Linked DNA regions of Xenopus tropicalis. The protein of the gene in region 2 interacts with the protein of the main gene of each other region in a biochemical or structural test. Links are inferred from orthologs where the notes say so. Each region holds a gene or a part of one and is shown on either strand. Other genes may lie near its edges. The genes, in order: six3 and nr4a3.

Region 1 (4,337 bases), on a different chromosome or scaffold from region 2:
CAAAAGCCCCCCACCGTTAAACTTGTTTACCGTTTAAGCAGAGCCGCTTTAATACCCTCATTTGCCCTAACAGAAATGGGAGACTTACACAGTTTGTATTCCTATTCTTTATTTTCGGGAGAAATAAAGACAATTCGGCAAATGATGTTTCTGACACAATGGGAGTTTGTTTACAGACTTGCTGTGCTAATTAAATGGGAGAAAGGTGCTATTTGGGAAGGGTCTGGGCAGATTTAAAAAGGAAAATCTGCCCCACGTTAATGGGTACACGGCTGTGCAAGTTATACGTGCAGGAGGCTTTTATAAATTGAAATACTAATTATACTACCGTAATTAGTGCCTGTCCCCTATTTATTAGTGCCCCTTTTTATTTTAAAAGAAAGAGTAAAACATATTTCGAATCTGCTTTCGTTTTGTAGGGAATTTAAATGGAACACAGGGAATTATTGCACAGACATAAACACACACACAGACTACCCGGGTGTTTTATTTGGTTTCCTTTATGGGCAGAGTGATTTAATCAGTTAAAAATAATCTTGTCTCCATCATCTATCCACATATTTATCTATCTATCTATCTATCTATCTATCTATCTATCTATCTATCATCTATCTATCTCTCTTTCTATTAATCTTGCTGCCCATCACCAATATACTGTGCAATATTAGTTTGTACTTGAGGCCCATAGTCACACAATATTTCCATCTCAGCTGTATGAGAACTCACTCTCCCACCGCCCAGCTATTTAGCAGTTTTACACAGTCAGGTTCTATAACTGACCCACTATGCACAGAATGTACTGTTACACTATATGGGCCAGTCAGTAACTATATTTCTATCACAGAAGCAGTGCAAGCAGAACTCACTGGCCGCCGGCGTTCGTAGCTAGTTGTACTAATACAGGATAATATAGGAAGACCTTTATTTGTATAAGAAGGAAACTACTGGCCCAAGTACTGTCCCACAGTCCCAAAACACTTCCCCACACCCCTACGGTAGTCTCCCACATATCCCAAAACCTTTCCAAAAGTACAAAGCCAAACTGCCCCCCTGCCAATATCTCCCAGTCCATTCAGTATTCTCCTAGCCAATTCAGTGCTCTCCTAATATATTCAATACACTCCTAGCCCATTTAGCACAGCTCATAGAGCATTCTCTTAGCCCTTCTAGTACTCTCCCAGGAAATCCAATACTCCCCTAGCCCATCAGTACAGTTTATGCAGTATTCTCCTGCCAATCTGTACTCGCCCGACGTATCCAATTCTCTCCTAGCCCAAGCAGCAGCAGTCTCCCATCACATCCAGTACACTCCTAGCCCAAGCAGCAGCAGTCTCCCATCACATCCAGTACACTCCTAGCCCAAGCAGTACTGTCCAATACTCCAGAGTACTCCCTCAGAGCCCAAGCAGTACCCTCCTAGCCCAAGCAGTATTTCCACTTTCCAATACTCCAGAGTACCCCCCCCACCCAGAGCCCAAGCAGTACCCTCCTAGCCAAGGAGTACTTTCCACTTTCCAATACTCCAGCGTACTCCCCCAGAGCCCAGTACCCTGCTAGCCCAAGCAGTACTTTCCAATACTCCAGAGTACTCCCCCAGAGCCCAGTACCCTGCTAGCCCAAGCAGTACTTTCCAATACTCCAGCGTACTCCCCCAGAGCCCAGTACCCTCCTAGCCCAAGCAGTACTTTCCAATACTCCAGCGTACTCCCCCAGAGCCCAGTACCCTCCTAGCCCAAGCAGTACTTTCCAATACTCCAGCGTACTCCCCCAGAGCCCAGTACCCTCCTAGCCCAAGCAGTACTTTCCAATACTCCAGCGTACTCCCCCAGAGCCCAGTACCCTCCTAGCCCAAGCAGTACTTTCCAATACTCCAGCGTACTCCCCCAGAGCCCAGTACCCTGCTAGCCCAAGCAGTACTTTCCAATACTCCAGCGTACTCCCCCAGAGCCCAGTACCCTGCTAGCCAGCCAGATGCCCCAAGAGAGGCAGAAATAGGGGAGGCATTCCCGGGACTGACCTGTTCTTAGCCGCCGCCGCTCTGTCCCTCTGCCTCCGGTTTTTGAACCAGTTTCCCACCTGGGTGGGGGTGAGTCCGGTGGCCTGGGCCAATTCCCTTTTCTTGCTGGGGTTGGGGTAGGGGTCCTGCAGGTACCATTCCCTCAGGAGGCTGCGAGTCCTCTCCTTGAAGCAGTGCGTTTTCTGCTCTCCGTCCCAGATGGTGCGGGGCAGGGGGAACTTCTTCCGTACCCGGTACTTATCCACCGGCCCCAGGGGGCGCCCCCGGAGCTTCTCCGCCTCCTGGTAATGCGCCTCCAGCCACATGGCCTGCAGCTTCCCGTGGGACTCCTTGGTGAACTTGTGATTCTCCAGGATATGGTAGAGGTCCCTGAAGTTGCCGGTGTGGAAGGCGACCACGGCCCGGGCCCGCAGGATGGACTCATGCTTATTGATGGCCTCACACGCCCCGGGGGCCACGGGCAGGGACCACAGGAAGCGCCCCAGCCTCTCTATGTCCCCCGTCTCCTCCAGCGTCTCACACACGCTGGCCACTTGCTCCGGGGAAAAGTTCAGGCTCGGCAGCTGGAACATTGACAGTTCTTCTTGGGCCCGGGGGCCCCCGCTGGAGCCGGCCAGGAGCACTGAGCGCTCAGGGAAGTTGGGCAGGAAGAAGTGGGCGGGATAAAGCTCTAGAGGAGACCTGAACACCATGGGATGGCCGGCAGGGGGGGGACCGCAGGAGCCAGGGAGAAAGAAGCAGCGGCACTAACGGCAGCGACAGCGGCAGCAGCAGCAGCAGCGGGACAGTCACTCAGCGCAGTGCCAGCGGCCTCATCCTAGCGCCCTTTCCATGCACACTGAGTGCAGCACCGAAACATTGCTTCGCTTTTCTATTGGTCTGCCAGGTGTCTCCAGGGCAACGCTGCCAATCACTGTCACCTCTGCCAATCAACGGCGGCGACGTCACTTGCAGTTACCACTTCCCCTAGATGGGGGGTAAGGTAGAGATGGGAGTGTGGCTGCTGCTGTGGTGGGAGGAGGGTGGGGGTTATCTAATGGCAGACTCCCCCCACCGCACAAATACACATACATCCTTCCCCTTTAAATAAGGGATCAAATAATGTGATTGTTGAATGGGATGAGCAATTAGTGGGTGGAATATTATTGTGATCTGAAGGAGGTAAGAAGAGATATATGGGGGGGGGGGGGGGGGGAGTAAATGGGCCAAGGGGCTGGGGATACACATTGGGAATAAAGGGCTTCTCACTGAGACCGTTTCCACATGATTTGCACGTAGTTTCCCTTCATTCTGCCCATGTGAGCAGCAATAGTGCTGGGGAAGAATGGAGAGATGAGATCATGAGAGCACCCTTACCCGGGTCACCCTGCTCCGGGCACTGCCTGCTGCACCCACCTACCCTGGGCCCGGCCATGGCACCCATTAACCCTTATTGTGCCAAGCCAGGCGCTATATTCCTGCTCCACTTGCTCCACTCTCAGGGCTTTGTAAAAGTTTGTCTCAACTGCAGCAATGTCTGGCTTCTTGGCCTCACCCATTGTATCTGCCATCTATCTGCCTATCTGTCTGTCTGGCTATCCATCTATCTGCCTTCCTCTCTGTCTAGATATCTGCCTGTCTGTCTGTCTGGCTAACCATCTATCTGCCTTTCTGTCATATAGCTATATTTCTCAGCCTCTCTACCCATATACTCTCCCTTTGTCTACCCACTAATATTCTGTATTTATTAATATGTTATCTATCTTATAAGATTTCTATAATCTATTTATCTATCTATCTATCATCTATCTATCTATATCTATCTATATCTATCTATCATCTATCTATCTATCTATCTATCTATCTATCTATCTATCTATCTATCTATCATCTATCTATCTATCATCTATCTATCTATTATCTATCTATCTATCTATCTATCTATCTATCTATCTATCTATCTATCTATCTATTATCTATCTATCTATCATCTATCTATCATCTATCTATCTATTATCTATCATCTCCATCTGTTTTAATATGCCTAACAGGCCCACTACCCAACTAGTTTATAATGCGATTTATAAGTTATTTAAAACGCATCATACAATCACTTTTATTACCAATTTGTTTATTTATATATCATCTATATATTCTAAGCTAATGGACATACTATCTATAAATATCTGTCTATAACTGCTCTTTAAATGTATAATCAATTATATTTGGGCTCAGTGACTGCATTCTTTATCAATCAAATTTGTTTCATGCTCTTTATCTATCTATCTATATCTATCTATCTATCTATCTATCTATCTATCATCTATCCATCTATCTATTC
Region 2 (4,545 bases):
ATTATCTAACTTTTGATTGGATGGGGCAGGAGGTTTCAAGATCCCTTGCGGGTAATGTCGTGTTGTAAATAGCGACAGAACTTTTCACCGTGCCGAGTGTGGACTATGGGACGAATGCAATATGGAGATATTACCTGCAGTTGCCATAGTAATGATGCTGTAGGCAACATGATCGTAGCTGTGTGATGTACGGCAGTGATCTGACTCTTTCTTTTTAAGCATGCTTTTGATTGCGAATTATAACTTGCATCGAGCAGGTTAGGTAAGAATGGTATTGTTTGAAAATGGCAGGTGCTATTGTGGAAATGGGAACTATTGGTGAGCTGATCAGTTAGATGAAGTTGTGGTTTTGGATCTTCTGGTTATGAGTTGTTATGTGTTATCTGTTTTTGTGTAGCTACACAAATTGTCTTAGATTAGTGATGTTAGATGTTAGTGATACTGCTGTTATTTTGTTTGTTTTTCTCCTGTTGGTTACTAGTGGAAATCTCACTTTTTCTGACTATTGGAGCCAGTCTACTCCTACATAAAAGCATTGCTTGGATGGATATGCACTGATATAAATAGAACATAACATACATAAAACAACACTTTCTACACTTTTACAATTATGTAGTGATTATGTGGGAAAATTGCATTAGTTCTGTTCATTATAGTTTGAAAAGCTCAAGAAAACTCACTAATTTACCACACTTATTTATCTTTTAAGCAATTTAGTGAAGTCTGAGCTCATGAGATTATTTGAGATCTGTGGTCTAATGCAATAATTAGGTGGATGTTTTGAGGCCATCAAAGTGTTCCTTAGGTAACCTGGAGACCAGGCTAGTCTGTGGGCAGCCTGGATGCTCAGAGTGAGGCAGTTAGCTTGAGAGAGAGAGAGAGAGAGCAGTGGAGACAGGTCAGATGAACACCAGCAGATACAAATAACAGGTAATAAAGTATGCATAGATACTCCTTTCACTGATATATAACACTTCAGTAACAGTTTTCAGTAACAGCTGCTTGCTCTTATGGATATATGTTATAGAAGGATGGCTTTTTATCATTTAAGCTGCTATAAAATAATGACCATCTGTGAGAGGCTACATGCAATGGAAAACTATACCAAGAAATATTGTTGTTTTTGTATTTGGAAATCTTTATTATTCAGCTGTTTGTACATCAACTAAGATCAATTGTTATAGATTTGCCTTAACCGGTTTAAAGACATAAACACAAATGTATATGCATCAAGGGTTTTGTTTGATTTTTTACTGTTTCATTCCAATTTGTCATATAAATCCACTCAAGTAATGTAAATATATATTGTCTGCAATATAATGTTTAGTACACATTCAGATACATTTTCTTTGCAATTACTAAATATTCTGATTGATTTTATTATTTATTGATTTAATTATGGAACAATATCTTGCCCTTTACTCTACATATTCTCTTTTCTGTTAGATTCTAGGTTAAAGGAACAGCTACCATTAAGCCCTAAAATCACACTGACAACAATCTTCAGAAGTAGTGAATTTTCAGCTTTTATTTCTGATAGTCTGCCAAACCCTTCCACCATTCACCAATCATCTAGGTAATCATCAAAGGCTTGTATTTGTTATAGCTGGGTGCTAACATTGTAAATAGTTTATATTTACAGCCAAATGGCCATAAGATCTAACCAATTATGTTAGGAGCCAAATAGGAAAACATTTATTCAGCCCTGTACTATAAAATAACTATTTAAATCCTTTCTACATGCAGAAATTGTTACCTTTATAACCATTTATATATCAGCATAAATGCGTTTTACCGGTATATAATGAACATTGTTTCACTTTCAGTTTTAAATAAGACCTGAAATGAAATGTTATCTACTTGTAGGGAAGTTATCAAGGTATACAACATGAAGTGTTAAATTACCTGAATAAAAGAAAGTACAAGTATGGGACCCATTATCCAGAATGCTCGGGACCTGGGGTTTTCCGGATAAAGGATCTTTCTGTAATTTGGATCTCCATACCTTAAGTCTACTAAATGATTATTTAAACATTAAATAAACTCGATAGGCTTGTTTTGCTCCCAATAAGGATTCATTTTATCTTAGTTGGAATCAAGTACAAGGTACTGTCTTATTATTACAGAGAAAAATAAAATCATTTTAAAAAATTAGAATTATTTGTTTATAATGGAGTCAATGGGGGATGGCCTTCCCCTAATTCGTAACTTTCTGGTTAACGAGTTTCCGGATAACGGGCACTTAGTGCCTTATGAGATATTGTTTATGTGTATTTTTATGATTTAAAACCATATTACTACAATATGCCAAATTTATGGTTAACTGTAACTGGTAACCTGCAGCAGAAGTCTGAGTCAGGGACATCCTCAGGGCTTGTCTGCCAGCCTGCAAATAATATAGAGGAATCTTTGGAACTGACTGCTCACAACATGAATTATAAACAATAAAAATCAATAGGCTAGCATCCATAGTGCATGTTATCATAGAAAACAAGTGTGCCAAATGTGTTGTGGAAAAAGCTAAAATGTTTATTTTGACATAATCTCTTTCTTTTTTCTCTATATTTAACAAAGGATATGCTGTAAATTTATAAGAAAATACATATGAAGAAGTAGCACTAATATATACACATTACTAAACAAGAAAGAAAAGTTTAGGACAGAAAAATATAGAGATGCACCTGTATTTGTTACAAAATATAACACAAGCAGGTCCATCAAATTATATAAAACATTGGCGGATCCTGAGGGCAGACCCAGTCTTCAGGTAAATTAAGACTGAAAGGAACCTATAATTAAATTTCAGACAGTATTATCTGTTTGAATGTGGGTGCCCTGGAATGATATTATGTTCAATGGAAAGCTTTTTTTATAGGCACACTGGAGACCACCTGAGTCTTTTATATTTGTAGCCTAATGCTGTAGGAACTAGAAGATAAAAGGGGTTGTAACAACTTTCCAATACAAACAAATTACAGATTTTTAATTATTTAAAATGTATTTGTAAATATAATTCTGACTGAAACCAGTTTCTGTCTCTTCTTTGCCATTTCTCTGCATTGTTGATTCTGGCTCTATTTACAATGCTTTGCATGTTTTGTGACTACCTGTGAAAAAGAGTCTCAGAAGTGGGCACGGTGGTCTGGCAATTGGAGTTTTGGCTGTAGATAAGCTGATTCCTGCTGCATTGTTTTAAAGTTACATGCACAAAGTAGCACAGTACAAGCAGAAGCATGTTTAATTGTAATAACATTAAGAAATTAATTTAAAGGGGAAGTAAAGCCTATTTTGTGTAAGAGAATCCCTATATAGGCTCCCATAGGTGCGATCACTGGCCAAGAGCATGTGCATTTACTAAAAGTCAGGACCAGGTCAGCTTACAGTTTGCATGTTCTTCGCTGATCACACCAGCCAAACATAGAAGGCACCAAACTTGCCGCACAGGGGAGCTGGGCAACTGGGGAGAATGTACCCCTATGTACTTAAAATATATACAGTAATTTGTTTTTATAGTCCCAGATTTTATGTTTTTTTTATGTGGTCCCATTCAAGTAAACTTCGTTTTTTCTTTCCTCGATATAATGTTTTCCTGGAAAAAGATGGTATTCTACTTTGTTTTTATGCATGATAATAAATTGGGGAAAGGTTTACAGGCAAACAGGGTATTTTGATCACTTAAGTTTATAAAGAAATAGTAAAAATGTATATATATTTTTTAAATCCACAGGTATGCCATGCATGCAAGCACGGTATAGTCCATCACCACCTGTTTCCACATTTATAACTCAGCATTACTCTCATGGCTCTGAGCTCAGTAAACAATTAATTAGTTCTTACCATTCCAAAGTGAACATGGATCTAAACTGCACAGGGATTACAGCGTCAGCTACCACATCCCTGCCAAGTTTTAGCTCTTTCATGGATGGATATTCTGGAAGTTATGAACACAAACCCTCATGTTTATATCAAATGCAAGCATCGAGTCAGAGATCCTTGATAAAGTTGGAGAGTTACCATCCAATCAACTATCAACCATCAATTTCTCAACAAGCAAATGTTATGTCTAGCCCATCTATGTATTTTAAGCAGTCTCCTCCTTCAACCCCGACAACCCCAGAATACCCAGCTCATCTGTCACCACGATGGGAACAACTTGACACATTGCCACCTTCACAGTCATGTATAAACTCTGGGCCTTTGGTTGAAACTTTACTTAAAACTGTTACACCCCAGTATCCAAATTTTCACCTAAAGTATTCTCCTTTGAATAACCCAATTTCTAACTCACGGATGTGTTATGACCTGTCTCAAAGTATATTATTATGTCCTGAAGGAGTCTCTGCCCATGGGGCAATGGATCATCTGCCATACAATCTGCCTATAACAAAGGGATCTAATTTGATCTTTTCCTCACTTGGAAGTACTCACAATGTCGCTGTGTCAGGGGATGGAAACCTTCCATCACCCCCCATCCGAAAAACCTCTGGGGAAGGAACCTGTGCAGTGTGTGGAGATAACGCTGCATGTCAGCACTATGGTGTCAGA

Evidence for each region.
Region 1: the proteins of nr4a3 (region 2) and six3 form a complex in vitro, tested with the Homo sapiens proteins (3 studies listed by BioGRID). The link is inferred for Xenopus tropicalis from reciprocal best matches to the Homo sapiens genes NR4A3 and SIX3.

The regions. Positions count from the first base shown.
Region 1 is NC_030681.2:19,137,708-19,142,044, reverse strand, and holds the start of six3 (homeobox protein SIX3), read right to left. Parts: upstream 2,982-4,337; 5' UTR 2,710-2,981; coding exon 2,018-2,709; intron 1-2,017. UniProt on the Homo sapiens protein: Transcriptional regulator which can act as both a transcriptional repressor and activator by binding a ATTA homeodomain core recognition sequence on these target genes.
Region 2 is NC_030682.2:64,938,764-64,943,308, reverse strand, and holds the start of nr4a3 (nuclear receptor subfamily 4 group A member 3), read left to right. Parts: upstream 1-1,452; 5' UTR 1,453-1,576; intron 1,577-3,727; 5' UTR 3,728-3,729; coding exon 3,730-4,545. UniProt on the Homo sapiens protein: Transcriptional activator that binds to regulatory elements in promoter regions in a cell- and response element (target)-specific manner.